Linked DNA regions of Danio rerio. The protein of the gene in region 3 purifies or fractionates together with the protein of the main gene of each other region. This does not show direct contact. Links are inferred from orthologs where the notes say so. Each region holds a gene or a part of one and is shown on either strand. Other genes may lie near its edges. The genes, in order: stx8, use1, napab, vamp3, bet1, stx6 and stx16.

Region 1 (4,182 bases), on a different chromosome or scaffold from region 3:
TCAAACTAATTTAGAAAATCTTAGTTCTCAATGATACTGCAAAACAAACAATCATAAAGAAGTCATTATAATCCTAATTGCTGGATTCAACTTTCTTGGTTTTGTGAAGCAACTACACAGAACTACAGGACAACCCCAAAACATAGTCAATTCTGAGTGTGATTCATACAAGTGAATGGGCTTGACAAACCACCTGTAGAAAACACAGTCTTTCATCTCTCTGACACCTAACCCTAACCGACACTTCAATCAGTTTGCACATTTGCACCAGGCACGTTCTTACAATCACTTCATATCTTTAAAAAAAACTATGCATTCATGAAGTGTGCCTCACACAGGTAAGTGGGCTTAACAAACCACCTGTAGAAAACACGCTCTTTCATCTCTCTGACACTTTAAACACCACATGCATCAGTTTGCACATTTGCACCAGGCACATTCTTACTATTACTTCATATCTTTAAAAAAAACTATGCATTCATAAAGTTTGCCTCACATAGGTAAGTGGGCCTAACAAACCACATGTAGAAAACACACTCTTTCATCTCTCTGACACTTTAAACAACACTTGCATCAGTTTGCACATTTGCACCTGGCACATTCTTTCAATCACTCCATATCTTAAAAAAAAACACTATACATTCATGAAGTGTGCCTCACACAGGTGAGTGGGCTTGACAAACCACCAGTAGAAAACACACTCCTTCATCTCTCTGACACTTTAAACAACACTTGCATCAGTTTACACATTTGCTCAAGGCACATTTTTACAATCACTTCATATCTTTAAAAAAAAACTATGCATTCATGAAGTTTGCCTCACACAGGTGAGTGGGCTTAACAAACCACATGTAGAAAACATGCTCTTTCATCTCTCTGACACTTTAAACAACACTTGCATCAGTTTTTGCACATTTGCACAAAGCAGGTTCTTATAATCACTCCAAAAAACACTATACATGTAGTACCTGTAAAAACACCTTTCACTCTCTCTCAAAAAAAGAAAAATAAACTCCCTCCTCCTAATGCTGGCACTTAATTCTCTGGCCACAAACAGTCCCTTTGTATTACTGGCACTCCTTGACTGTATTGCTTCTTCAATCGCTGAATGATTCCTCAATTGTAAGGCGCTTTGGCCTCTGTGAAATGAAAGTGCAGTCAAGTAAATGAAAGGATACATATGGCGTTGAACAGCTGCTCGATTCAGAGTCTCTCTGAGTTGTGCTATATTCTGTTTTAGCTTCTGTAATGATGCTCTCAGGGTCATGTTGATCTACATGGATGGAAAAGCAACAAGAGAGATTATTATATTGTGTAAAAGATTGGTTAACTATCTCATGTAAACCAGGGGTCTCAAACTGCCTGGCTGTGGGCCATTTGTGGCCACCCTCCTCCTTTTTCTTTCAGCCCGAAATTGACATGAAAAATATAATGAGATTCGGCCCAACAAAAAAATATATTTTTTTAGAGTCACTATCTTTGTGCAGTTGCATATAGCCTCTTATGTTTTTGACCCCCACCTACAGGACATTTAAAGTACTGTACAATATATGCAGGTTACTTTCTGTTTCTCTCAGTGTGCAGTTGAGAGTAATGCACATGCAGATTATTTCTGGGGCTAATGTAAAAGTTGAAACATATGTCTGTACGTGCTCTATTTTTACAAACACCTCTTCAAGGCTTACACGTTATGTTAGTAGTGTAAATATGATTATTTTGCTAATATTCAATTCAAAAATGTATCCTTAATATATTTTTCTAATATGCATATTAAGAATTGTATAAAAAATGTGCATTAGTAAAATTTTACTGCTGGCTAAATTGCACATGTTAAAGTAAACGTGAATACATACATAAAAACGTTTCCTCTCTTGTAGTTTAAAAAAAAAAGAAGGACATTGAGAAGAACAATTGCCAGTACAATCAACAAAGTTATTCAAACTCTTTTCTGATGTTTTACGCTATCGGTTAAACATCTGGTAAAGCAACAATTGATTGGGACATAATTATGATTATTATGCTTATATAATGTGGTATTTTCATAACAATTTAAACAACCCCTTCAACATATACAACGAGAAACTAAAAGGAGTTTTGATAAACTGGGGAAGAATGTATGAGTGTAAGAATGTATTACATCAGATTTCCACTTTTTTCTTGTGCTTCATATGAATCGTCAGTCACTAATATGGCCCCCCGCCATTGAGTTTGAGACCCCTGATGTAAACAATCAAATCCTGCCTTGCCTTGGCTGGGTTTCCTCCAGTCCTCTGCTGTCTGTTTCTTTCATGGATGTTTTCTGCAATTTCTTGAGCCAGCCTACAAGCTGCATCATAATTTTCTAACCTGTAAACAAAACACAGATTACACTTATCAAAATCTTCCAATGGGGATCATGAGATAAGGGTTTCCAGTTATTTAAATCACAAGGTTGTCATCAACACAATCATGTGACAATCAAATGTCAGCTAACCGGCTTGGCAACCTTTACAAGACGCGTAAAAACAGCAATATGTGAACGAAAACATAATTGATCAATTAAAGTATAGGGTAAAATGAGCCCTGGGGAGTAGAAAAAAAAATAGATAAATTAGTCTAGCGTTAAAGTTAAACTGATCTGACTGTCAGTTACAGATGCACTAAATTAATAGTGTTGAAGTCTGAAGTCTAACGTACTGTCCTGACATGCAGATCTAACATGACAGTAAATAATAATAGTATAGGCACTCACCAAAGGTCTTTTGACATGTTGCGGTACTTTTGTTTCGAGTTTGCAAAAAGCGTTTTAGCAGAAACTCACAGCAAAATCACATCAACATAAACTGCGCAGTGCCACTTCCTGTTAAGGAACGACGTCATACGGTGGCCTTTCATAGACACACTTCATACGGTAACCGATGTCTCGTTGTGTTTGTCCTGCGATGTCTCTTTTTATCAATGACAAAATTGCTGATTATGTAAATAAAGTGTTATTGAACTTCATATGGAAGAATAAAACCCATAAAATTAGAAAATCAGTCTCATCTAATAGGCGCTCAGAGGGTGGATTAGAGGTTTTAAATTTCAAAGATTTAATTAGGCATAGCTCATTTAGAATTAATTGGCTACAAAGATGTCTCCGTAGTAATAATTCAATTTGCTACCATATCCCCAATGTTATATTTGATAAATTAGGTGGCTTAGACTTTCTTTTAAAATGTAATTTAATCCCTTCTAAATTGCCAATTTCCCTCTGTAATTTTCACAAACAAGCTTTACTTGCTTGGAAATTGTGTTACGTGCACAATTTTTCCCCACACAAAGAAATTCTTTGGAATAACTCTAATGTCTTAACTCGTGGGAAATCTCTTTTTATTGATAAGTGGTTTGAAAGAGGAATTGTTTTTGTTTTGGACTTATTTTAAAATGATGGCAATATTTTGGAATATGAATAATTTATGACATTGTATAACTTCTCTTTGCCAGCTTAATCCTTCAACTGTGTTCTAAAGAGTTTGTCACAAAGTTATGTGCATTTATTTAAGACTTTTGTTTACTTTAATGAGAGGGAAACAATTATGCCTGAACTTTTTTTGGATGGAGTGTCTTTTTTTGATAAAAAATGTGACAACAGACATGTCAGACGATTGTTACATTCCTCTGTATATACCACCCCAAGATGTAAATTTTATGGTTATTACCTGACAAATTCAGCATATCCAACAAAATAGGAGAGATACATTTTAAGATCTTGCATAATGTTTATCCTACAAATTCCCAAATTGCTAATTATTTTGATATATCTAATTTGTGTACTTTCTGCAATATACATGAAGAGACTTTATTTCACTTATTCTATAGTTGCATTCACATTAAACATCTTTGGAATTACATTATTTTTTATTTATCATCCATTTTTAAACATGATTTAAATTTGTCTATAAAAGATATATTTCTGTATTTCTTGGATGATGATCATGCTCTCGATCTTATTGTAATTTTGTTTTTTGTGTTACTCTGTAAATTTTTTATACACAAAAACAAGTTTCTAAAAACAATACCTATTTTAATACTTTCCTTGTTGAAATTTCGTACAATATTGAATCTCTTAAGCTTATTAATTATAATAATAAGAAGTTTCTTAAAGCTTATGACAATTTTTTTTCTTAATGATTGAGGCTGTGTATTTTTTTTTCTCTCTGT
Region 2 (3,968 bases), on a different chromosome or scaffold from region 3:
AGTCAATGTCTGTGGTAGTTCATATCAAACGAGACATTTCATAACTGCTGTAGAAACATTGCTAAGCTAGCTGTTTTTAGCTTTCAAGCTAATATTGATACATTGAGGCGTTTTCACCCAATATATGTATTTTTTGTAATACATTATGGCTCAAAATTACCTGGGACTTTTTTTGAGGGCGACAAACATCTCCTCGAGAGCACCGACATACTTGAAAAGACAAAAACAAAACAAAACATACAGTTTTTTTTCAAATCAAAGTCAATTGAGATTTCTGTGGGTTTTTTTTTTCAATCATATGTAAAGAAAACATCCGAAAAACACATTTAAGTGTTTCTTTTTCTTCACTTTATCAATTTGTGTCTTTAGATTTCAATTACAACAGATATTTTGTAAAGGTTTATATTGGGGTAAAGTTGGTTGTATATTCGCACATTCATTCATTTTTTAAAGGTGACAATTTGTGACATGATAATTTGAATATTCAGTCTGAAATTGACTTCAAAACAACATTAGCACTATTTAATTAATTGTGAACAATGTCGATGATTTTTGATCGTTATCGGCTGGTAATGTGATTTTACTATTTAGAATTTTAAATTATATTAACATAGTGAATGTCAGAATGTGCAAAAATAAAACCAACTTTACCTCAATAAAGCTTATTTCTCAAAATAAATCTCCACTTCTGCAGCACTAACCTACAACACACTTCAAATATTTACAAAAATGTAAAAAAGTATTTAATTTTCTGTTTGCATTTTTTTCTGAACTATGGAGTGATCAAGTACACTATAAAAAGTGATTTTTTTTACTTCATTTTAAAAAAAGTGACTAAAATCTGCATAATTATGAAAAAGTAAGTCAACCTAACATTTACAACGAGTTTAGTTACTTTATTTTTAAGTCAATTTGTTTCTTTTAAGACCATTGGTTTACTCGCATTAAGTAACTAAACACTTTTAAACTGTAGAGAAACCCAAGATTTATCCAAAGTAAGATTTTTGGCTAGATAAATATGCAAATTAATGCAGATTTAAACAGAACTTTGATAAAAATTGGTTTAAAATTTTTTAAAAGTGTAACATTTTTGATCTGTTTGCAGTATTTTCTAAACTATGGAGTGATAAAGTACACTGTAAAAGTCATTAGTTGACTATGTTAAAAAATTTAGTAAAATCTGCATAATTCTAAAAAAAATGGTTAAGTCAACTTAACATTTAAAAGTTACGACAGATTTAGTTATTTTATTTTTAAGTAAACTCAACTTGCATCTATTAAGGCAGTTTGTTTACTCGCTTTAAGTAACTAATCACTTTTTAAACTGTAGAGAAACCCAAAATTCATCCAAAGTAAGATTTTTGGCTAGATAAATATGAAAATTAGTGCAAATTTAAACACATTATTAAAAATGTAAAAAAGTTTTTAATTTTCAGTCTGTCTGCAGAACTTTTTTAAAAATATATGGTGATCAAATACACTGTAAAAGTGATTAGCTGACTTCATTTTAAAACAGGGAGTAAAATTTGCATAATTCTAAAAAATTAAGTTAAGTCAATTTAAAATTTACAAGTTACGACAGGTTTAGTCATTTTATTTTTAAGTAAAGTGAACTTGTTTTGTTTAAGGCAGTTGGTTTACTTGCCTAAAGTAAACTAAATACTTTTTAAACTGTAGAGAAACCCAAGACTTATCCCATGTAAGATTTTTGGCTATATAAGTATGCAAATTAATGCAGATTTAAACAGAAAATTATTTTAAAAATATAAAAAGTATTTAATTTTCCGTCTGTTTGCAGTATTTTCAACTTGTTTTGTTTAAGGCCATTGGTTTACTCGTTTTAAGTAACTAATCACTTTTTTAAAACCCCAAATTTATCCAAAGTAAGATTTTTGGCTAGATAAATATGCAAATTAGTGCAGTTTAAACAACATTATTTAAAAATCTGTAAAATTGTAAAAAGGAATTTTATTTTCTGTCTGTTTGCAGTGTTTTCTAAAATATGGAGTGATCAAGTACACTGTAAAAGTGATTAGCTGACTTCATTTTAAAAAGTGAGTAAAATCTGCATAATTATGAAAAATTAGGTTAAGTCAACTTAACATTTACAACGGGTTTAGCTACTTTATTTTTAAGTAAAGTGTAAGGTCAACTTATTTCTTTTAAGGCCATTGGTTTACTTGCTTTTAATCAGTTTTTACAGTGTAGTGAAACCCAAATATTCATCCAAGTAAGGTGCAGATTTTTGTTCTACATATATATGCAGATTAGAGCGAATTCAAACATAACATTATTGAAAATGTCTGTAAAAATGTATAAATTTGTTGATGTAAGTTAATCAATCAGCTGTTGAAGTATGGTGATACTTATTATTAATAATGTTTTACCCCTATCCACCTGCAGTGTCTTGCCTTCTATAGACATTTTTAAATACCGTCCTAAGTGAAGAAACAAAAAGCGGAGTAAAAATGATTAATTTAAAAAGAGATAATTGATTTGAATGCAATAATACGTGCCTTGTTTTGACACGTAATCCACATTAGACATGGCGTTGGTATTATTGCTGTGTTGTTTTCATGCAGAATATTTTACAGTCGGAATATAAAGCTTTTTAAAACATATATTATTACCTTTTCTAGTCTCCATTCTGTCTCGGCTCTTTTCTCTGAAGCCAGCGATTCACAGCGCGACAATAATCTGACGAAATTAATCTCCAGTCTGGACGTGGCCATATTTGACATTCAAAGCGGAAGTAGCGCGACTTTTACATTACAAGGTGGAACAAACAGGCAAATGAAGAGTCCTTCTCCGTGCCTTGAGGCATTTTAAAAATCATTAAGCATGTGAATGGGGCGGTTTGACGATTTTATGACCATGTTTTATCAATTTTGGCTACATTAAAAGTTCAAACTAGCTTTCTATACCGTTGTGTTTGCTTCAAATAACCTGAATTATGTGTTAGCCTTAATATACTGAAATAATGACTCTTATACAGTATAATTATCACAATATTTGTAAACATAAAGGCATAAATTCACAATTATATAATTCTAAATATATAATTCATATTCACTGGCTGTGTATGATTAACTTAGAGTTGTGAGTACAAGTTACTTGAGAAATTTAAGGTAATCAGTTTCCACACATTCTTCTAGTAACATGAACTAGCAAAAAACTGAACTGTTTTATTTGAGTTATCCGTATTAAGCCTAACTTAGACCTGTAAGTCAGCTGAACTTGTTATACTGAGTTGACTGTACTCAAGTTTTAGGTAGTCTTTACAAATAAAAAAGTTACCTGAACTAAGTTATAGTAGCTTGTTCAAATCAGAAATTATGTATTGATTTACTTGAAAATTCTGCGGTAAGCAGTTCCCACAGGTTTTCTAAGTAAACTCAACTCATTACTTTTTTACAGTAGTAATTTACTATTTAAATTCTATTAAAATAGATTTGTTTAGATCTAATATCATATGATCTTTGTAAATTTTTTCCCCCCTAGATTTATATTTTACATAAAAATCAAATTTGTATTTGTTTCTCATATATCTCTTTGTTTGGAACTGTTATGCATAGAAAGCAAGTGTGACTGGAAGATTTTTTTTAACCATCTTTAACAGGAAATTTACACAAATAAATAATGTGAGATCAAAATGAGTAAAAGCAATAGTGTTTAAAGCAAGATTTATCCTGGACAGTAAATCAATGTATATATATTATATAACACACTTATGTTGCCATATATGAGTTATTGTATTGAAATTTAAGGGAATACATACCAATCTAATTTACGATCTGTATGTAAAATGCCGAAACAAGTAATTAGACTGAAAGAAAATGTGGGGTATTTGGAGCATACAAATTCTTTTTTTTTTTGTAAATTGAAGATACTTGTTCAATGATTTGGTTAAATTTAAAAAGCACAATTTATGTTTAAATCTAAGAATAAATTACTTCCAAAATGCAGAC
Region 3 (3,932 bases):
AAATACATCAAATAAACTTACTTGGTATTTTTCACTCGTGACCTTATTTCAGCCTTATCCCTGTCTCTCTCTATCACTGACTGCTGTTTATCTGACGTATTTATCTGACGCAGGAGAAGCTGATACGCAATGTCAGAGTGGTGGGCGGGGAGAAGCAGTACATTTGCACTTAAGGAAGCTACAATTGCAATCAGAATTATTAAACCCCCAGAATTTTTAGCCCCACTGTTTATTTTTTTCTGATACATCTTGTCTGTTTAACGGAGAGCAGATTTTTTCAACACATTTCTAAACATAATAGTTTTAATAACTCATTTCTAAAAACTGATTTATTTTCTCTTTGTCATGATGACAGTAAATAATATTTGACTAGATATTTTTCAAGACATTTCTATACAGCTTAAAGTGACATTTAAAGGTTTAACTAGGTTAATTAGGATAACTAGGCAGGTTAGGGTAATTAGGCAAGTTATTGTATAATGATGGTTTGTTCTGTAGACGATCGAAAAAATATAGGTTAAAGGGGCTAATAATTTTGACCTTCAAATGGTTTTTAAAAATTAAAAACTGCTTTTATTTTAGCCAAAATAAAACAAATAAGACTTTCTCCAGAAGAAAAAATATTATAAGAAATGCTGTGAAAATTTCCTTGCTCTGTTAAACATCATTTGGCAAATATTTAAAAAAGAAAAAAGATTCAAAGGGGATTAATTAATTCTGATAGCAACTGTACATAATCCTCAGACACTAAAATGGATAGATTCTACATCGGGGGTTGGCAAATTTGGTCCTGGAAGGCCAGGGTCCTGCACAGTTAAGATCCAACTCTAATCAAACACACCTGCTTATAGATTTTTTTCTGCTTATAGATGTTTGACTAGTGTTGGAGCTCAACTATACAGGACACCAGCCCTCCAGGACCAAGACTGCCCACCCCTGTTCTACATTATATAATAAATAATCTGATGGGTATTCGAACTGAAATTTTACAGACACATTTTGGAGACACCACAGTCTTATCTTACATCCATCTAAGGTGCCATTTAATCAGGGCAGTTTTCTACTATAGGGGTAGTTTAGAGATCTGAATATTAAACTAAAACTTTAAAGCATCAGTAATGCATCATATTTACATTTAGAGAGCATATTGGAGTATTACGTTCTATTCAAGATTCCTTATGTGTATTTAAAAAGGTCTTAAACCTACAGAAACTGTTATCTATTTCACGTAATAAAATCGAAGAGAAAGTATACGTTAACATTATATTGAAACTTTCGTTTATATTTTCCAGAACAACAGACCACAGAGTTAAGGGATCAGAAAAATATCGCTCTGTAAACATGTTTTGTACTTTAAATGAGAATAAACATGCGTTGTGGATGTGACAAAAAAAAAAGTCTGCGGGTTTACACTTCCTAATCTGCAATAGCCTCTCTGAATATCACACTAACTGTACCCAAAAAAAACAAATACTAATACTACTAATACTTTCCTTCTTAGACTTTACAGACCTGAAACTTGCCTATAGCACTTATTCATTGTTGCTCTTAGTTGTGTAAATTGCTTCCTTGTTCTCATTTGTAAGTCGCTTTGGATAAAAGCGTCTGCTAAATGACTAAATGTAAATGTAAATGTACAGTACACAACATACTTTGTAGAACTTTTGAGAATTAAACTGCACAACCCAAAAGAAGCAATGCTAATCAAACTGCTATAAGTTGGCTCTCTATAAAACAAAAATGATTGGTTTTATTTAATTTAATATTTTTACATTTATGAGAAAAAAGTGTCGTTATGAATGTGACATCTCTCCGTTATGAATGTGACAGATGTGAAATTGCCACTTGTGTGACTTTGGTAAATAGAATAGTTTGAAAACATCAACAGATGCATTTTTCTGTATTTCTAAAATACTGTAAAATACTTACTTACACAAAAACCCAGAAACGGTTCTCGTATTTTGGTAAAAACCTAATTTTTCTCATGGCAAGGTTGACATTTGCACGTAATTGCTCATATCCATATATATCATGTATGATAAGTAATAATTTAGTGTGTTTTTTTTTTGCATTAATGTATTGCTAATTATATGTTCCCTGCTGTTATTAGTTTGTGTTTTCTCAGGTTAATGTGCTGTTTAAATAAGTCCAGTGATGTTGTAACTTGTTGAAGTGAAAGTCAGCTGACAACTAGCAAAGCATTCAGTCACATTTCAGTCTCGCCGCCTATTTCATAATCAGTTTTATGGAAACATTATGTCAGGTCACAAGACAAGAAATGACAATTCGCTCTATATGTATTTGTAGATTCAGATTTAGATATATACAAGATAATGCTGACAATATATTACGTTTCTAACAGTCAAACTTTGCGCCATTTAACGTTATGTTATATTACGACTTCTCAGCGGGGAAAAAGAGATTAAAGTAGCTTTACAGCTTTAACATACTGTATGGGTTCACAATTCACTAACTAATAATCTTAAATGGCGAAACAAAACGTTCTTTGGAGTTTTTCCACTCTGAAAATAACTTTTATTAAGTTCGTTTTTGACAGCTAACTCACTAGCATGCTAGCTGTCTGTTTACCCCCGGCTGGCCTGTCAGAACTCAGTTATAAAAGTGATAAAAACCTACCCAAACAGGGAGCCAAAGAACGACTGCGAGGATTTGACTTTTTTCTCGGCTTCTGCCATGAGAGCCGTGGCTTCTTTCTCCTTACCGGTGTTATCCATGAATATTGTTTACAGTTCAACTTTAGCAGCAAACTCTGGAATCCAGCCACATCAACACATCTCTGCGGAAACCTCCAACATGTCCGCCTGCCGCTTAAATTCAAAATAAAAGCTCAATTTCATTATTCATTCAAAAGCAATTATTTATTTGGTGTTCGATCGAGTTCATTGTTAATATTTATTATAATAAATTTTTTTAAACAATTCTTTAAAATATTATCGTAAATTTTATAATTTACTTTTAAAAATTGGCCAGACAATTGGCCAGAATAATTTCATTTGATCTGATTTAGGATTACTCCATGATTACAATATTGAAAATATAGATTTTTTTAACTCTTTTTAGGTTAAATCATTGCTACTGAGTTGTCTAAAAAGTGATATAATGTCTGAAAAAGTTATAAATTACAATGGCATCAGTACTCCATAATTAATAATGTTTACATCACATTATTATTATTATTATTATTATTATTATTATTATTATTATTATTATTATTATTATTATTATCATTCATTCATTTTCTTTTCTGCTTAGTCCCTTCATTAATCTGCCACAGTGGAATGAACCACCAACTTATCCAGCATATATTTTACGCAGCGGATGCCCTTCCAGCTGCAACCCACCACTGGAAACGTCCACACACACACTCATTCACACACATACATTATGGACAATTTAAATTTAGCCTACCAATTCACCTATAGCGCATGTCTTTGGACTGTGGGGGAAACTGAGCACCCGGAGGATACTCACGCAAACAGGGGGAGAACATGCAAACTCCACACAGAAATGCCAACTGACCCAGCCGGGGCTCAAACCAGCGACCTTCTTGCTCTGAGGCGATTGTGCTACCCATGGAATGAACCGCCAACTTATCAAACATATGTTTTACACAGCTGATACTCTTTCAGCTGCAACCCACCAATGAGAAACATCAATACACACTCATGCACACACATACGGCCAGTTTAGCTAATTCGATTCACCTATAGCACATGTCTTTGGACTGTGAGAGATAATTTAGTATTATTCCATGATTATAGTATTGAAAATATTAATTTCTTAACTCTACTTAGTTGCCAAAAAATAATATAATGTCAGAAAAAGGTTATAAATGGCAATGGCAAATGCATGATTAGTTTGAAAATTTTACATTAGTTTTATTATTGTGAAATTAGGATATATATCATAAA
Region 4 (4,115 bases), on a different chromosome or scaffold from region 3:
AGAAAGCTGTAGGTCTAATATGCCAAAAAAAATATTGCTGTTTTTAAGGGCTACAACCTAAGAGGCCGATCACACTGAACGCGCATTTACATTCCAAAAACACAAGGATGCTCTGCACTGCCTTTTTGTTGACAAGAAAAAAGGAGCACACTGCGCTTTTTTTATGTTGCTAGTCAAAGACTGGATCAGCTGGGTATTTTGCGAGAGTGTTGCAGTTAATATTAATGTAACGTTATTTTCAGGCTCATTGTTCACGTTAACACTCATAATGACATGACTTGGAATAACAAAGACTAAGGCCCCGTTTACACTAGTGCGTTTTAGTTTTAAAACGGCGTTGTAGAATGAAAACGATCCGCATCCACACTAGCGTTTTACCCAGCGTTTCTGAACTGCTCTCCGTCCACACCAAAACGCTGAAAACGCACATCACGTGACCACACAGACACACTTGGGCAAGCGCTCCAGCATTTCTACCCAGATGAGAGCTCTGCTTGTCGGACTGCTCATCAAGCATCTCCCGCTGGATCTAATCTCACTATATTTGCTAAACGTGATATTTCATTCATGTTGTTGTCTTTATCTAACGACATAGGCCAATTCCCTGACTTTGGTCATTGGAATCTATTAACTTACTTGTTCACGGGTAACATGTTTTGGTTAAGCGCAAAGATAAGTTAATGATTAATCCAGGTACATTGACTGATCGCTTGCCTTTATTTCCTACAATGTATAAACTTATTGTATGTTATACTTTTATAATTATCGATTATTAAAACTGATATTCAGCAAAAGAGAGGGTGCGTTTCGTATTTTCACTGAAATTGAAAGGAGGCAGTTGTTATAAGGCTCCGTTTTGTTATAAATATCCACACAGTGAAGATGACGCTCATATATGCAACACAACGCCTCAACATTTCTGCTGTCTGTTAAGTTGCTAATATTAAAAAGAAAATAGGCAGTTCCTTAAATCATGTTTATATTTTATTGTTGAGAAAGTGAAACAACGTAGCCAAGGTGATGTGAATGAAGTTATAAAGTACACTGTTCCCTTTGAAGATTTACGCGTGTCCTCGGTATGTTTTCCATATCAAACTGAGAAAGGGGAGACTGCAGCCTTGATCAAACTTGCGAAGTCTGAACTTACAAGAAGAGGATGCGAGACTGAACTGTGTGTGGGCTACTTAATATTGAGGAAAAGCCCCAATCAGATAGGCAAACGTTTCCAGCCCCGCCTCCGTTTTCAGATGTCTCCGTCTTTCCCCATCCACACTGAGACGGAGCAGCAGCATTTTAGAATGAAAACGGCCTCTCCAGCATTTTCAAAAAGCTCTGTTTTCGGCGCTCGAGAACTCCGGCGTAGTGTGGACGGATGGCGTAACCGTAGCAAAACTTATGCGTTTTCAAACTAAAACGCACTAGTGTAAACGGGGCCTAAGATTCTTCTTCCGTTTTATCTCATAGTTTTATAATGATTGATATGAGCATATTAATACAAGCTCAAATGAGATTGTTGTGAATTTGACTCAAAATATATAATGGTTGCTGGTTAAATGTGTTAATTTTTTTACACAGAGTATATTTTCCATCCATACATCCACTTTAAAAAGTTCTTTTGTCAAAGATTTGTGGTTTTATCAAGTTTTAAGATGATTGATCTGTATTTTCTAAAAGAAGTGCAAATTAGATTATTGTAAATTTGACTAAATAGCAAACTTTAAGAATTATTTTTAATGTGTTAATATGGGATTTTGTCTATCAGACAATATCTTTTCTATTCTTCGCTGCAAAATTATTACATCATTATCAGTATTACATTCTATTAGAGATTATTTTATTGTTTTATGATAATTGATAAATATAAATAGCAGAGCAAATTCATTTTACTTGTCAATTTGACTCGATAATAATTATTTTAAAAATCTGTTTTGTGTTAATCTGACATGTTTCTGTCCGATATTACATGTTCTAAGCATACTGCCACTATAAATAAAAGATATGTTTTGAAGGATTTGGCATGTGGCCCTTTACTTGGTTTGCAAAACGTGAAGTGGCCCTCTGGTCTAAAAAGTTTGCCCACCACTGGATTAACAAAACTGATTGAAGAACAATCATTTGTGAAGCTTGTAAGTTATAACTTGTTTGTTGATTAATTTGCCGCAGCTTTGCCAAATACAAACTACATCCTTTTAACTCACTCAAAATTAAAATAATTGTACACTTAAAACAAAACAAATATGTTATTATAATGGTGATATGTCTGTGGTTTGTGTATGCTTAATGTCTAAAGTTTCCACAAACTTTTATCAGTCAAAACAAACTGTAAGCAGTTAGCATGTAAGTTAGCGCTAATGCGAACATAAACACAAATCTCTTTTAAACACTCAAACGGACATTAAACTTCACTTACGGTGTCATAATCAACTATCCCAAATAAAAGCAACCGAAAACAAGACCGAAAGTAAATTAAAGTAAACAAATTGTCAACAAACTGAAGCTAAAGCTAAGCTAAAAGCTAACCTGTTGCTTTGGCCGTATTCACACCCATTAGAACACAACACAAACTTTCCCAGCACATCAATATTTAGGTATTAAAAAAAAAACAAAAGCAAAACATATATCATCACATGTTCATATCACATCGCTGAGCTAGTGCAATTTTAATTTTACTTACATGGTTGTTGAGTTGATGTGTGATTTGTGAAGGCCCGCTGATGATGATACAACTGTTATTACTGTGTAAGCGAGTGAGCGTCAGCGCGCGCGTGCACGTAGAATATAGCTCACGCACACACACAGTGAAAGTTTTCCCCATCATATAAGTAATTTCATAGGTTATAATAAAAATATACAGTCATTGTAAAACTCTCTCAATTCAGTTCAATTCAAAAACTGCTTTATTGGCATGACATGTTACAAATATATTCATTCATTTTCTTTTCGGCTTTGTACTTCATTAATCAGGGGTCGCCACAGTGGAATGAACCGCCTACAAATGTATTGTCAAAGCACTAAAGTTTACATTAAAAGAACATACATAATAAATAGTTTAAAAACACACTAAACACAGTAAACAGTAGTAGTAGTAGTAAAATAATAATAATAATAATAATAATAATAATAATAATAATAATAATAAAGATGATAATAAAAAATAATGATCTAATAATCTAATGATGATAATAAGATCTCTATTTCTCTCTCTTTTTCTCTCTATTCTTATATTAAGACTAGCAAAAATGGCAATATACATTAGTATAGGAGGAACAAGATTTTGTGTGAGACCATTTATAAAGTTGAACTTATTTTTAAAAGGCTTATTAGAGCAAGAATTAGACATGATTTTAATTTTTATTTGTCAATGAAAGAGTTGAACAAGTTTGAAGACATGTGGAGTGTAAAAAATGTTGTGTTGGGCTGAAAATAATGTATGGTTTTTGATGAAAATATTGTGTGATTTAGAAATTTGTTTAAATCAATGAAACATGTTGTAGTTTAATTTTTTATTAAATGAAGGTGTATTCAATTTCAAAATTTTCTCTCTCAAACAAACACACACGCACACACAAACACAGATAATTAAACTACATTTAACAGCTATGGAAAAAATTAAGACACCATTGGTCTAAATTTTAATATTTTTATTTGAAAATTTAAACATGCTAATCACAAACCTTTTGTAGAATAAACCAAATATTAAACCTTTAATCAAACACATACCATCGAATATTTATATATACCTAATCATTTTATACAAATATAAATTAAATTATTGTTTTGCTGATAAGTAAGGTGTAGTGTCATCTACACTATTTGGTATAAATATATATATTTTTAATTATAAGAAATTAGCCTATATAAAGTATGTACACACACACACGCACGCACGCACCACGCACGCACGCACGCACGCACGCACGCACGCACGCACGCACGCACACACACACACACACACACACATATATATATATATGTGAATATATATATGTACATATATATATATATATATATATATATATATATATATATATATATATATATATATATCAGAATTCATTATATATGTAAGTCAGAATTATTAGCCCCTCTGAATTATTAGACCCCGTTTATTTTTC
Region 5 (4,224 bases), on a different chromosome or scaffold from region 3:
ACCTTCTCCTGTACAAGAAACATTCAGGTCAGGTCAAATCCAACGGAATTTAAAAAAAAAAACATTTAAAATCAAGTATTTAGTACTAAAAATAATAAATCTTATTACAGTAAACTGAAATGTTGCCTTAAAGAACTGGTTCACGACAAAATGAAATCTGTCAATGTTTACTCGCCCTTTAAATGTTTCAAACTAGTAGCTAGTGTTGTCACGATACTGGAATTCAATACCAATCGATACTGAAGCTTAAAAAAGCATCCATCTCTTGCTAAGATTTAAACACTGTTGATTACGTTCTTAAACACAGCTGATTTGCCATTGTGTTCACATGCTCAACAAAAATGACTGTGATTGGCAGTGAAGGTCATTAGTTCACCAATCTCACTGCTGTTCACTGAGTGTAAACACAGATACAGACACTGGAGCATTTAAAAGCCGCAATTCATCAGCAGATCGCTTGTATGTGAAGTTATAGACAAACCAGCTGATTGACGTGACTTTAAAATGCTTGTGTCCCTGTATCTGTGTTTACACTCAGTAAACAGTGTTGAGTTTGGTGAACTAATGACCTTCACGGCCAATCACAGTCATTTCTGTTGAGCATGTGAACACAACAGCAAATCAACAGTGTTTAAGAATGGGCTCAACAGCGCTCAAATGTAAGCAGGAAATGGACGTTTGTAAAATTTCAGTACCGATTGGTATCGAATTCCAGTATTGTGCCAATGCTACCTGTAACCATTCACCTCCATAGTAGCAAAAACAAATACTATGGAAGTCAATGGTTACAGGTTTTTAGCTCTGTTTAAAATTTCTTCTTTTGTGAAATATAAAAATTGTTTGGGGTGACTATCCCTTTAAGAGTAATTGACAAGTATGCACTGATTTGATTGATCAAATATTCTCTAAAGTTGGAAGTGAATTTGAAAAACCTAAACAAATAAGATTGAAATGTTCATCAGAAACTATTTAAAATCGAAAAGTAAAAACTCTGGATAAAATCTTGATTGTCTACATGAGACAAAATGTTGAAATTTGCAAAATAATGAATGTTTTTTTAAATTAAAAGGTAGATTATTTGCTTGGTGCCTCATTTTATCAAGTTTAAAATGGGTTTTATTTGCTTTATCAATCATACTTTACTGTTCAAATTAGTGCTGGGCCGATAAACAATATTATATCGAATCACAATAAAATTTTTGTCAATAACAATGACAATCTCTTGACTTTTCTACTCTATATTGATCTAAGAGCAAATCACACAGCAGAAATGTGCAACAATGGGAATCCAAAAGGGTGTTGATATTAGAGATGCACCGAATTTTCAGCCACGGAAATTTATTGGAAAAAAATGTTCTGCCATCTATTGCAGGGGTTCCCAAACTTTTCAGCCCGCGACCCCCAAAATGACAATGCCAGTGACTCGCGACCCCCAATATCATCTGAGGTTGTTATAAATACAGAAACCTTGCATGCAATGGTGCACACACGCCAATACACCCAGGTTTATTCTTTGTGTAATTTTTTAAAATGTATCTCAGTGCTGTAAATGGGCCAGAAAGTTTAAGCAGGTATAAAATCAATCTGCTGCATCCGATGCTATTGCTGTGTCTTTAATATTATGTAATTACTACAGGGGTCACAATCCAATAGAACTAGTAACTATAAGTTATTATATAGTTTATAGTAACTCTAAATGACTTTTTTTCTCTTCAGTAGGTTACAATATGGTAATTCCGGTTTAATAAAAATAAATAGATGTTTGGAAATCCCCAGGCGACCCTTCCTTTCATTGTCCTGCGACCCCTCAAGGGGTCCCGACCCCTAATTTGAGAACTACTGATCTAATGGACTCTTATTTTTGTGGCTTCAGTCAATGTTAAAGTACTATTTTAAATCTGGAAGCATTGCCAACTTGTATTGAAATATATGATGTTATGCTTCATATGGAAAATAATTAACGAGTTTGAATTCTTTTTTAATATCGCCCAGCCCTACTTCGAATAGAAGGTTTTTTAATTTCAGCTTAGATGTGTCATATTTATGCTGTTACAGTATCTCGTGTTGTTCATACACAGAAGTTGCTTTTCTGTATGATATAAATATATATGTAAACATGATTAATAAATAACGCCACTGACGTAAAGCTGGTTTTAAATTCACACATTCGAACTTTCTCCTTAATAATATGATTTCAGAAAAGTATTATTTGGAAGTTCTAAATAGGGAAATTATATTAGCAGACTATTAAAAACATTGTTCACAGTAAATTATATAGTGTTGTTTTGTAGTCATACTTACACGTGATTTCAGTCCGAATATTCAAACTAGCATAAAGGTAAACAATACAGGGAGCTGTCACAGAACAAATGTTCGAATATAAAAACAACTTCACCTCAATAACAACGATGGTGAAATAGAGAAATAGGAGTTGCTAGTTACTGCAAGAACGTTAATAAACGTTATTTATCCATTTAACGTTAACGTTAATTCTCCACACCTGGATTTAACGTTAATGTGTGGGTGATGATTTGGTCATTCAGAGATTGCTTACTGTCATAAACTGTGACCAATAACGTTAAGTTTTCTAATTGAGTTGAGATTTTAGCTTAGCATAAGCTTCAAGCAATACGACACATAAAAACGCAAACTTACCCAAACCAGCGCGCCTCATTGTCAACCCAGTAATCTATATGACGTGGATACGATCACTGCAGTCTGTAAAATAATGTGACAAATATTCGCTAATGTTGATATTTAGAGAATCTGTACTTTCCCCCTCCAACTTCACAAGCGCCACGACACCTCTTACGGAAGCCGCAGAGGATTAAACGATACGCGTTTAAGTTACATGGGCTTCTGGGTACTGAAGTTTTTACTGCGAGTATTGCGGTTAATTCTTGTCTTTATTTGTCATAATTCTAACATTTTCTTCAGCAAACTGTGACTTCATTTCTCAAAAGTAAGTTGACACGACTTGCAGGGTTAATTTAATTGAAAAATTGCAAACAGCTGTAGACTTTCTCACAGTTCAGACTCTAAGACAAGTCAGATTTTCAAAAATCTGTGACACTATTATTTATTTTATAGAAAATGTATAGACTTTCTCTCAATTCTGAATTTATCTTCATTCTGAGGTTCTTTCAAAGAACTGTTTTACTTTTTATAACTGATAGTACAAAGCCTTATATGGGAGCGACATGGTGGCTCAGTGCCTCACAGCAAGAAGGACGCTGGTTTGAGTCCCGGCTGAGTCAGTTAGCGTTTCTGTGTGGAGTTTGCATGTTCTCCCTGCGTTGGTGTGGGTTTCCTCCGGGTGCTCCAGTTTCCCCCACAGTCCAAAGACATGCGGTACAGGTGAATTGGGTAGGCTAAATTGTCCGTAGTGTATGAGAGTGTTTGTGAATGTGTGTTTGGGTGTTTCCCAGAGATGGGTTGCGGCTGGAAGGGCATCCGCTGTGTAAAAACTTGCTGGATAAGTTGGCGGTTCATTCCGCTGTGGCGACTCCGGATTATTAAAGGGACTAAGCCGACAAGAAAATGAATGGAATGAATGAGTTTGCATGTTCCCCCATTGTTAGTGTGGGTTTCCTCACAGTTTAAAAAAACTTACCCAGACTTTAAAAGAAACAGACTATGAGCAAATGAGTTTAATAAACACTGAAAAGTGTTTCACTGACTATATATACACAAATATTTTTTTACATTTAATATGCAAATTTTTGAATATTCATTTCTTTTTCAACAATATAAAATTGAGCATTTCATCTCAATGTTTGCGACGCGTTGGCACAGTGGGTAGCACGATTGCCTCACATCAAGAAGGTCGCTGGTTCGAGTCTTGGCTGGGTCTGTTGGCATTTTTGTGTGGAGTTTGCATGTTCTCCCCGTGTTTGTGTGGGTTTCCTCTGGGTGCTCTGATTTCCCCCACAAGTCCAAAGACATGCGGTACAGGTGAATTGGATAAGCTTAAATTGGCCATAGTGTATGTGTGTGATTGAGTGTGTATAGGTGTTTCCCAGTGTTGGGTTGCAGCTGGAAGGGCATTCGCTGTGTAAAACATATACTGGATAAGTTGGCAGTTCACTCCGCTGTGGCAACCCAAGATTAATAAAGGCACTAAGTCAAAAAGAAAATTAATGAATGAATCTCAGTGTCAAGAAATGCTTCTAAATCATTACATTTACACACATTTCAATTTTGTGTGGTGTGGCATTATTTAGT
Region 6 (4,031 bases), on a different chromosome or scaffold from region 3:
CCAAGTCCCATTCAATGGACCTCAAACTGTTTCGTAATTCGTTGGTGGTCCAGTCCACTTCCTCCTTGCTGGCTCCACCCGCGTCCTGTAGCAGCTCTATCCATCTCTGATGAAGACCTTGAGCTGTGTTTACAGCCTTCTGCACCTCTCTAAGACAAATACATTCAATTAAGCCTCAAGGTTAATTGACCTACTACAATGTAGACAAGAATACTACAGAGTGTGCAGATAATTATGAAAATTATAAACATATGATCATAATTGTTTTTTTCCAAAGAGAATTTGACCAGTTCTCAAATACATCGTTCTTAGCCAAATACTAAAATATTTTACTTGTAATTTATTATTAATAAGTGTTATTAGTATTATTATTTAGAATAATTATTATTAAATTGAAAATTAATAGACTGTCTGATGTGTATAATCATTAAGCAGGAAAATAGCCCATAAAAAAGATGCAACTCTCACTAAAAAGTCAAAAATAATGGATGCGATCCTATAAAAAATGTGATAAATTAAAGGTGCTGTGAAGTGCTTTAAAATTAGCATTTTGAATTTGATTTCTTCGTTGTAATCTGAAATAAAATTCATGAAGACAGGGTGGGACATAGAGTAGCCCCTCTCCTTTATAAAAAACATCCAAGAGTGTTTCGTTTTTAATCACAGCTCTGCCAGTGAGAGTGGTTGATCTCAAAAAAGATGCATCAATGGATAAAGCAAATGAAAAGCATCTTGAGGGGGGTGGGTATGTCAGACACTAGAGAGTATTTGATTGGTCAGAATATTTGATGAGAAACTACAATAGATAACCCCCAATAATATAAATCCCCACTTTATAAAAACCAATAGCTGAAGTGTTATACAATACTGATTTCTTTTAAGGACAGCTTATGTATCTGTCTTCCTCCTGCCCTAGTTAGTATTTGTCGTTCAATAGTAATACCTTAATTTTACAGGTTTATTAATGCTGTGATCTTCTTTTGGTCGTTTAATATATATACAAAACGAAGGGCCCAAAAAGGAGGTGTAACATTGGGAAAATATATATATATATATATATATATATATATATATATATATATATATATATATATATATATATATATATATATATATACATACATACATACATACATACATATATATATATATATATATATATATATATATATATATATATATATATATATATATATATATATATATATTTTTTTTTTTTTTTTTCCTCCCCAATGTTACACCTCCTTTTGGTCCCTTCGTTTTGACATGTCAAAATAAACCTGCTTCATAAATATGCACATCTAAATATAATTATCTTACACCCCCAGTGCTTGTTAAAAAATTACACGTAACTTATTAATGATTATACACAATATCAATACTAGGGCTGCACAATATATCGTTTCAGCATCAATATCGCAATGTAGTCATTCGCAATAGTCACATCGCAGGTTGTGCAATGTTGAGTCTGTAGTATAATCTATCATTTTCATGTTTTTTTGGACAGTAGGATTTTAAAACCAGAGGCATAAAAAATTTTACCATTTGTAAGTTAACGTTAGACGTAAAAATGATAAAACACTGTTTATTTATCTTTTTTTATTGTTTGATCTATGCTTGTGGATAGTTTATTATAATTATTGCAGATGCACTTTTCTGCAGAATCATCTGAATCAGATAATTATATCGCAGAATAACTAAATATCGCAATGTTAGATTTTTCCAATATCATACAATCAACACTTAAGAAGTGTGAAATCGGTACAATTAAACAATAATTATGCACGCACTTTATTACAGCGCCTAGACTGCAGTTCTGCACAAGACGTTTGGCCACAGGAGAAACGGTCGTGCTCAACTGAGCCTGGTTTCGCTCAAGTTTTTTTAATTCTTCACTTTCGCCAATTGGTGAAGTTTTTTTCCCTTGCCACTGGCTTGCATGGTTTGGGAGCAGTGGAGCTGCGCATCGATGGATTTGCTTTTCAGTGTTTAAACTCTCAGCAGTAAAAATTAAACCACACTGAACTGAATGGACTGAACTAAACTGAACTTCAACACAAAAATAAGCTGACACTGTTTCAATTTACTATAATCTTCTATGTGAAGCTGCTTTGACACAATCTAGATTGTAAAAGCGCTATAGAAATAAAAGATGAACTGAATTGAAAGGTTTTACTATGATAATGCAATGCTTTTGGATGTCTGACATGGAAAAAACTATGCTATTACGTTACTATCCAAAAGCATACCATAATATGTATCCCCAAAAAGTGACAAACATGGTAACGTTACATATTTGTAAATCCTAACTTATAGCAAAACGCAGATGTCTGGCAACCCAAAACAATACCACTTTAAAGGGAAGACGACACAAATATCGATTAACGCTATGAAGCGTTTGAGAAAAAAATCGATAATTATGGTTGCCATGACAACACGATAACGATCTTACCGAAACAGCTGCTTTAAATGGTGCCGAGTATCAACGTAGGACAAGTCAAATAGCTAATGTACGTAAAGTTTAAAATAATTAACGTTACTCCAATCTGATTCCTGAAAGTGTCTAATTCGACATCTTATATTCGCCCCTAGTCTCCGATCTAAGCCCTGAAACTCACCCTTTCACCACGAAAAACGGATCTTCCATCGACATTTTGCTGCTCAGATGAGTCGATGAGTGGGGTGCGATAATCTCATGCTCCTGACCGCGGCTGGTTTAGCTTTACTTGGACAAAGGAGAGCGCTTTACGTGTTGTTTACATGCGGGACAGAGCCCGGATCCGCTCAGCCGCCATTGCCCGGCGGAATCACATCCGGGTCCTCGAGCGTCTAGACACACGCACGCGCCTGGGCAGATAAACAGCAGCACGGGTTGTTTTGGTTTGTTGAAGTAAAAGAACAAAGCGTTGCCACTAATATGCAAAATGCCTAAATATAAAATATACTTACGAGATATTAGTTTAATTTAGATAATGCTTTAAATATATGTTGGTAGTCAGCATTCTGTCTATTCATCATCCAGGCAATATTATGTAAAGTAGCTTACCATTATTATTATAATAAATCTACTATATGTAAATGTTTACGTAATTGAAAGCTAATTTATAGTTTATGCGTTAAACATATGCTGGTATAGTTGGTGGTTCATTCCACTGTGGTGACCTCTAATAAATAAGGGGACTAAGTCGAAGGAAAATGAATAAAGGAATTTATAACATACTAAAATATTGAACCTACGTCCTCAAAATTAAATTTAACTGAATCATTATACACCGACTTCAAAATGATTACCTTTTGATTTGCCACCAAAATTAACATAAAATAAGAATATTATTATTCACAGAAAATTCACAGTAAATAAAAAATAAAATCCATGTTTTCAGATCTTAGATATTTTGAACTATTGTAAAAGCACACATACATATAGTCCTCCTAACATTTATATATGTGTGTGTAGCCTTTTACGTATGTGTACAATAATTGTATAGTAACATAAAAATGTAACAGGCGACATGGTGGCTCAGTGGTTAGCTCTGTTGCCTCACAGCAAGAAGGTCACTGGTTCGAGTCCCTGCTGGGCCAGTTGACATTTCTGTGTGCAGTTTACATGTTCTCCATGCCGTGTGGGTTTCCTCCGGGTACTCCGGTTTCCCCCACAAGTCCAAAGGCATGCGCTAGGTGAATTTCATAAACTAAATTGTTTGTAGTGTATGTGTGTGAATGTAAGATTGTATGGATGTTTCCCAGTACTGGGTTGCAGCTGGAAATGCATCCGCTGTGTAAAACATATGCTGGAAAAGTTGGTGATTCAGTCGCTGTGGCGACCACAGATTAATAAAGGGACTAAGCCAAAAAGAAAATGAATGAATGTGTGTGAATGAGTGTGTATGGAGGGTTCCCAGTACTGGGTTGCAGCTCTAATGCCAACAGCTGTTCCAAAACATATGCTGGATAAGTTGGTGGTTCATTCCTCTGTGGTGACCACTGATTAATAAAGTGACTAAGCTGAAGAAAAATGAATGAAAATGTAT
Region 7 (4,060 bases), on a different chromosome or scaffold from region 3:
TAAAAATGTAGGAATAAAATTAATACATTTTACTTTCTATGACATTCGGCAACATTTGTTATAACAAACGTAAACAAATCTAAATTTTACAGTGACTGTATATTCGATGAAAGTAGGGCTGCACAATATATCGTTTCAGCATCGATGTGGCAATGTGTGCATCCGCAATAGTCACATCTCAGGATCTTCAATGTTGAGTTGAAATAATAGTTGATTATAATTAATGCAGTGTTGAATTATAATGGACTCTTTAAAGAGATAGTTCACCCAAAAATGTACCTTTAATCACTATTTTCAAAAGTTTATGTGTTTCTTTTTTATGTTGAACACGAAAAGAAAATATTTTAATAACTAGGGTTATTATTAGGTGATATTATTAATTAATCTTACGATACTATACCAGCTGAAGTGTCACGATACCAAGTAGCATTGCGATACTGTAATTAATAACTCAAAATAAATAGAAATTGTCAGAAATACTATATATTATGTTATAATAGGCCTACTTGAATGTAATTCATAATTCCCTTAAGGCCAAAAAGTATTATTTGCACCTCAAGTTTGTTCATTCTTTTTGTGTATTTTGTAGATAACTGGCCAACAAAAACACATTAAAATAAAGATACAAATTATACCAAATTAAATCTGTTACAAAAGAGCATTTTTCCAACAAAATTAGGCTATATGACGTGGTCAAAAATAGTTTCAATGTTTCCTGTTGCTATTTTGGGTTTTTCATCTTTGTTTTTAGTCCTCTCAGGAAACAACTCAAAGTATTTCAAAATTTCATTTTGTGAGTCGTTCTTTTAAAGAGATTGTCGTGGTAGCTAATCATATTAATAGGAACAGAAATGAACCGATTTAAATGTTTATTCAAACTGAAGCGTTAGGAAACGTGCAACAGGCTACCATAAAAGGCACATTTTCGACACAGTTTGGCAATCTTAAAGGGCTCTACAGACTATTAAAATAAATGGTTTATTGTTGCACAAACGTGCAAGCGTTTTATTGACTTTTTCACATGCAACGTTGTCTATTGTAGATAAACCATAAATGACGATACTACCGTTTACAAACTACAGTGGCACAGACAGTATTTTGGAGACATAGTATAGCGATAATACCATAGTAAACCGTGCAACTCAATAAATAACTCTTACACGTTTGAAACAAGTAAAGGGTAAGTAATGAGTACTTTTTCATTTTTGGGTGAACTATGCCTTTAAAGCCTCTGACTGTGTAAACTTTTTAACATTTCAGAGTTTAAAACATCCAGCCACAAGAAAAGTTAGTGTTTGTAAATTTATTAACGATTACATTATATAGAATAAAGACTATGCAATGTTGACTGTTCAATTATCTGTACCTGAATACTGTTAAGACTCTCCAGAAAACTAGAATTCACTTATATATTTGCTGTATTTTGATTACCTAAGCTTGTAAGTTATTTGTTACACATTATTCGAGATCCAATCACCCCAATTAAACTAAAATGAGGAATTCTTTCCAAATAAAACTGTATTCACGTAACAAAATACAAAATATCGCAATGTTAGATTTTCCCAATATCGTGCTACTGTGATTGAAAGCATGTGAAAAGTTCATGTGTATGCTTTAGATCACAAAGAAAAACTATTTTAACTCACGATGACTCACTGCTGTTGAAAAGTTAAGGAACTTATGAAAATGTATTTATTCTTGCGTTGAGCAAGGATGGATTAAACTAAAGCAATTCTAACCATGGAATAAATCAATTTTTCAAAATGCTATCAACATTAAACAGTAGCTTAAACTGAATTTGAGTACACCATTCAGTTCTGTATTTTCTAACAATGGTCATTAATGATTAATATTTTAATTCAATTTTAAAAAGTAAACATACATCATCATACAATAATATGTACTAGATAAATCAGTTAAAGAGCGTCTCCACATTCTTATTTAGCTCCAGACAAACATACATGCGCCTTCATACACGAACATATAAGCTGTATACTTAAGGAGTGGGCGTCATATTTTAAAAGACGAACCAATGATCTAAACTAGCACGACCATCACCTTTTAGTCAAGTCAAAGGCATTCTCGTGTGCTGAGGTAAATCAAAATGCGTTGGTTTGACGGTCAGCTAGCAGGTTCACACACACCTTCCAGCTCCTCTCACAGCAAACAAAACAAGTTGAGGTTTGTTGGACAACTGACAGCGCCGGTTGACATCAACAAACATCACTAGCTAGGGTTGTTTTCTAAGAACAACTAGCTAGAGTTGTTTTCTCTGAATCACACGTACAACCACACACGCCAAAACAATCAATTCAGACAATGAACGTTAGACTCACCGCAGCATTGCTACGTGTATTCAGAGTACGACGGGGGTCGTATGTACTCACTTGCTCAGCCAAAATCTGCCGGTTTTGGATTGCATTGTTCCGCATTAATAAGAAGGCATCGGTCAGTCGCCGAGTTGCCATGGCTATGCAATAAAAGGGGAGCGAAAAGTGAAATAACTGCGGGCTGCCTCGATGGCTGTCTCTAGATTAGTTACTCAGCTCGTCGCCAAGGCAGCTGCGGCTACTGAACTAGCGGGCTAGCCTGCAAACCGAGCAGCAGGCTCGCCCACTGACCCAGCGCCTCCGAGCTCGAGAGAGTTCGGCTCTTTTTTAGACCAACGCAGTCCCGAGTCTGTATCCCGTGAAGTACCAAAACATTACAAGGCCGAAACCCCGAGTTTTCCGCTCGGTTTGGGGAGCAAATGGATCATGTCTGTGACTTCCGTGACGTGGAATACGTAACGTGACCTCACGCCGAAACTTCCGCTTTGGACAATGAATATGCAAAAATCGAATTCAGTATTAAAATACTTAACCTTTTCATATTTGCAGCTTAATGAACCTTTTAGTTTTATTAGACGACAGCAGTTTTGTAATATTTAAGAATTAATTACATTCGAATTTTATTTTATTATTTAAAAAAGCAACAACATGCAAAAAAAAAGCCATCAGCCTTTAATTTTGTCATAGGATAATGTATTAGATTAGATAGTATGTTAGATTAACAACACAGACTGATTTTATAGCACCAGGTTAAACTTTCTGACTCCTTTATGGTAATCAAATACATTAAAAATAAATACAGGCCACAACTGAACATTGAGGATGATCTTCAACATTAAACCATTAGACTTGTGCTGGTGTCAACCAGGCTCATTGAGGTGAGATTAATGTTAAATTAAACAAATGAATCAATGATTATTAAATTATAGCCTATGATTGTTAAGACTGTTGCACTTTTTATGTTGGCAATATGCTCATGTTACTATAGGCCTGTTTTTGTGTGTGCAACATTTGTATATTTATAACCACCTCTGAGAAATATTGGGGTCGCGAGTCACAGGCATTGTTATTTTGGGGCTCGGGGGCTGAAAAGTTTGGTAACACCAATTAAAACATCCTTAGCATGTAGTAAAAATTTAATTCACAAGTGTTTTTTAAAAAAAAGACTTAAAAAGTCATACATTTGACATAGTGACTGACACCTGCAGAAACCATGGTTGTGATGTTCCATTCCACTGGATTTTTATAAATATCTGTTTTAAAATACATGACTCTCTTCTTTTTTGTACTATTATGGTTACATCAAAATGAGTAGACTAAAAAGTAATAATTATTAAGCCAAAAAATGTAAAACCCAATTATGTATACACTATTTTTTATAAAAGAACATGTGCAAATAAAAATACAAATTTATGTCTTCGCAGACTTTTCGTCTTTGCATGAACTTTGAAATTTACAAAACAGTAAGTGCATTTCTCAAAACAGCACATACAAATGGCAAAACAGCATGGATTACCCGCAAAAGCCAGTCTCTTGCTTAAAATCTTTAGTTCATCTCTCAATATGTCAGTGCCGTCAGAATGACAAGTCCTTGTGTACAGATAAGACAAATGACTTACTCGTGTTGTCAATATAACTGTACTCTGTAGGGATGTTCTGATATGGCTAATTTAGTTAATTTTATTGCGATTTGTACTGTGATTTGTTGCCAAATCATGTCATTGTGATAC

What was found.
Region 1: the proteins of napab (region 3) and stx8 purify together in Homo sapiens (affinity purification with mass spectrometry; 4 studies listed by BioGRID and IntAct, with this or other methods). This does not show direct contact. The link is inferred for Danio rerio from reciprocal best matches to the Homo sapiens genes NAPA and STX8.
Region 2: the proteins of napab (region 3) and use1 purify together in Homo sapiens (affinity purification with mass spectrometry; 3 studies listed by BioGRID and IntAct, counting the BioPlex papers as one, with this or other methods). This does not show direct contact. The link is inferred for Danio rerio from reciprocal best matches to the Homo sapiens genes NAPA and USE1.
Region 4: the proteins of napab (region 3) and vamp3 purify together in Homo sapiens (affinity purification with mass spectrometry; 3 studies listed by BioGRID and IntAct, with this or other methods). This does not show direct contact. The link is inferred for Danio rerio from reciprocal best matches to the Homo sapiens genes NAPA and VAMP3.
Region 5: the proteins of napab (region 3) and bet1 purify together in Homo sapiens (affinity purification with mass spectrometry; 5 studies listed by BioGRID and IntAct, with this or other methods). This does not show direct contact. The link is inferred for Danio rerio from reciprocal best matches to the Homo sapiens genes NAPA and BET1.
Region 6: the proteins of napab (region 3) and stx6 purify together in Homo sapiens (affinity purification with mass spectrometry; 3 studies listed by BioGRID and IntAct, counting the BioPlex papers as one, with this or other methods). This does not show direct contact. The link is inferred for Danio rerio from reciprocal best matches to the Homo sapiens genes NAPA and STX6.
Region 7: the proteins of napab (region 3) and stx16 purify together in Homo sapiens (affinity purification with mass spectrometry; 4 studies listed by BioGRID and IntAct, with this or other methods). This does not show direct contact. The link is inferred for Danio rerio from reciprocal best matches to the Homo sapiens genes NAPA and STX16.

The regions. Positions count from the first base shown.
Region 1 is NC_133181.1:25,761,364-25,765,545, reverse strand, and holds the start of stx8 (syntaxin-8), read right to left. Parts: upstream 2,801-4,182; 5' UTR 2,749-2,800; coding exon 2,732-2,748; intron 2,347-2,731; coding exon 2,247-2,346; intron 1,274-2,246; coding exon 1,179-1,273; intron 1-1,178. UniProt on the Homo sapiens protein: Vesicle trafficking protein that functions in the early secretory pathway, possibly by mediating retrograde transport from cis-Golgi membranes to the ER.
Region 2 is NC_133197.1:10,727,768-10,731,735, forward strand, and holds the start of use1 (vesicle transport protein USE1), read right to left. Parts: upstream 2,801-3,968; 5' UTR 2,733-2,800; coding exon 2,631-2,732; intron 211-2,630; coding exon 161-210; intron 1-160.
Region 3 is NC_133193.1:47,631,645-47,635,576, reverse strand, and holds the start of napab (N-ethylmaleimide-sensitive factor attachment protein, alpha b), read right to left. Parts: upstream 2,801-3,932; 5' UTR 2,736-2,800; coding exon 2,638-2,735; intron 1-2,637. UniProt on the Homo sapiens protein: Required for vesicular transport between the endoplasmic reticulum and the Golgi apparatus. Together with GNA12 promotes CDH5 localization to plasma membrane.
Region 4 is NC_133186.1:42,677,926-42,682,040, reverse strand, and holds the start of vamp3 (vesicle-associated membrane protein 3), read right to left. Parts: upstream 2,801-4,115; 5' UTR 2,677-2,800; coding exon 2,675-2,676; intron 1-2,674. UniProt on the Homo sapiens protein: SNARE involved in vesicular transport from the late endosomes to the trans-Golgi network.
Region 5 is NC_133194.1:43,532,860-43,537,083, forward strand, and holds the start of bet1 (BET1 homolog), read right to left. Parts: upstream 2,801-4,224; 5' UTR 2,675-2,800; coding exon 2,656-2,674; intron 9-2,655; coding exon 1-8. UniProt on the Homo sapiens protein: Required for vesicular transport from the ER to the Golgi complex. Functions as a SNARE involved in the docking process of ER-derived vesicles with the cis-Golgi membrane.
Region 6 is NC_133197.1:16,196,146-16,200,176, forward strand, and holds the start of stx6 (syntaxin-6), read right to left. Parts: upstream 2,801-4,031; 5' UTR 2,654-2,800; coding exon 2,619-2,653; intron 150-2,618; coding exon 1-149. UniProt on the Homo sapiens protein: SNARE promoting movement of transport vesicles to target membranes. Targets endosomes to the trans-Golgi network, and may therefore function in retrograde trafficking.
Region 7 is NC_133181.1:52,356,396-52,360,455, reverse strand, and holds the start of stx16 (syntaxin-16), read right to left. Parts: upstream 2,801-4,060; 5' UTR 2,469-2,800; coding exon 2,337-2,468; intron 2,226-2,336; exon of another isoform or gene 2,059-2,225; intron 1-2,058. UniProt on the Homo sapiens protein: SNARE involved in vesicular transport from the late endosomes to the trans-Golgi network.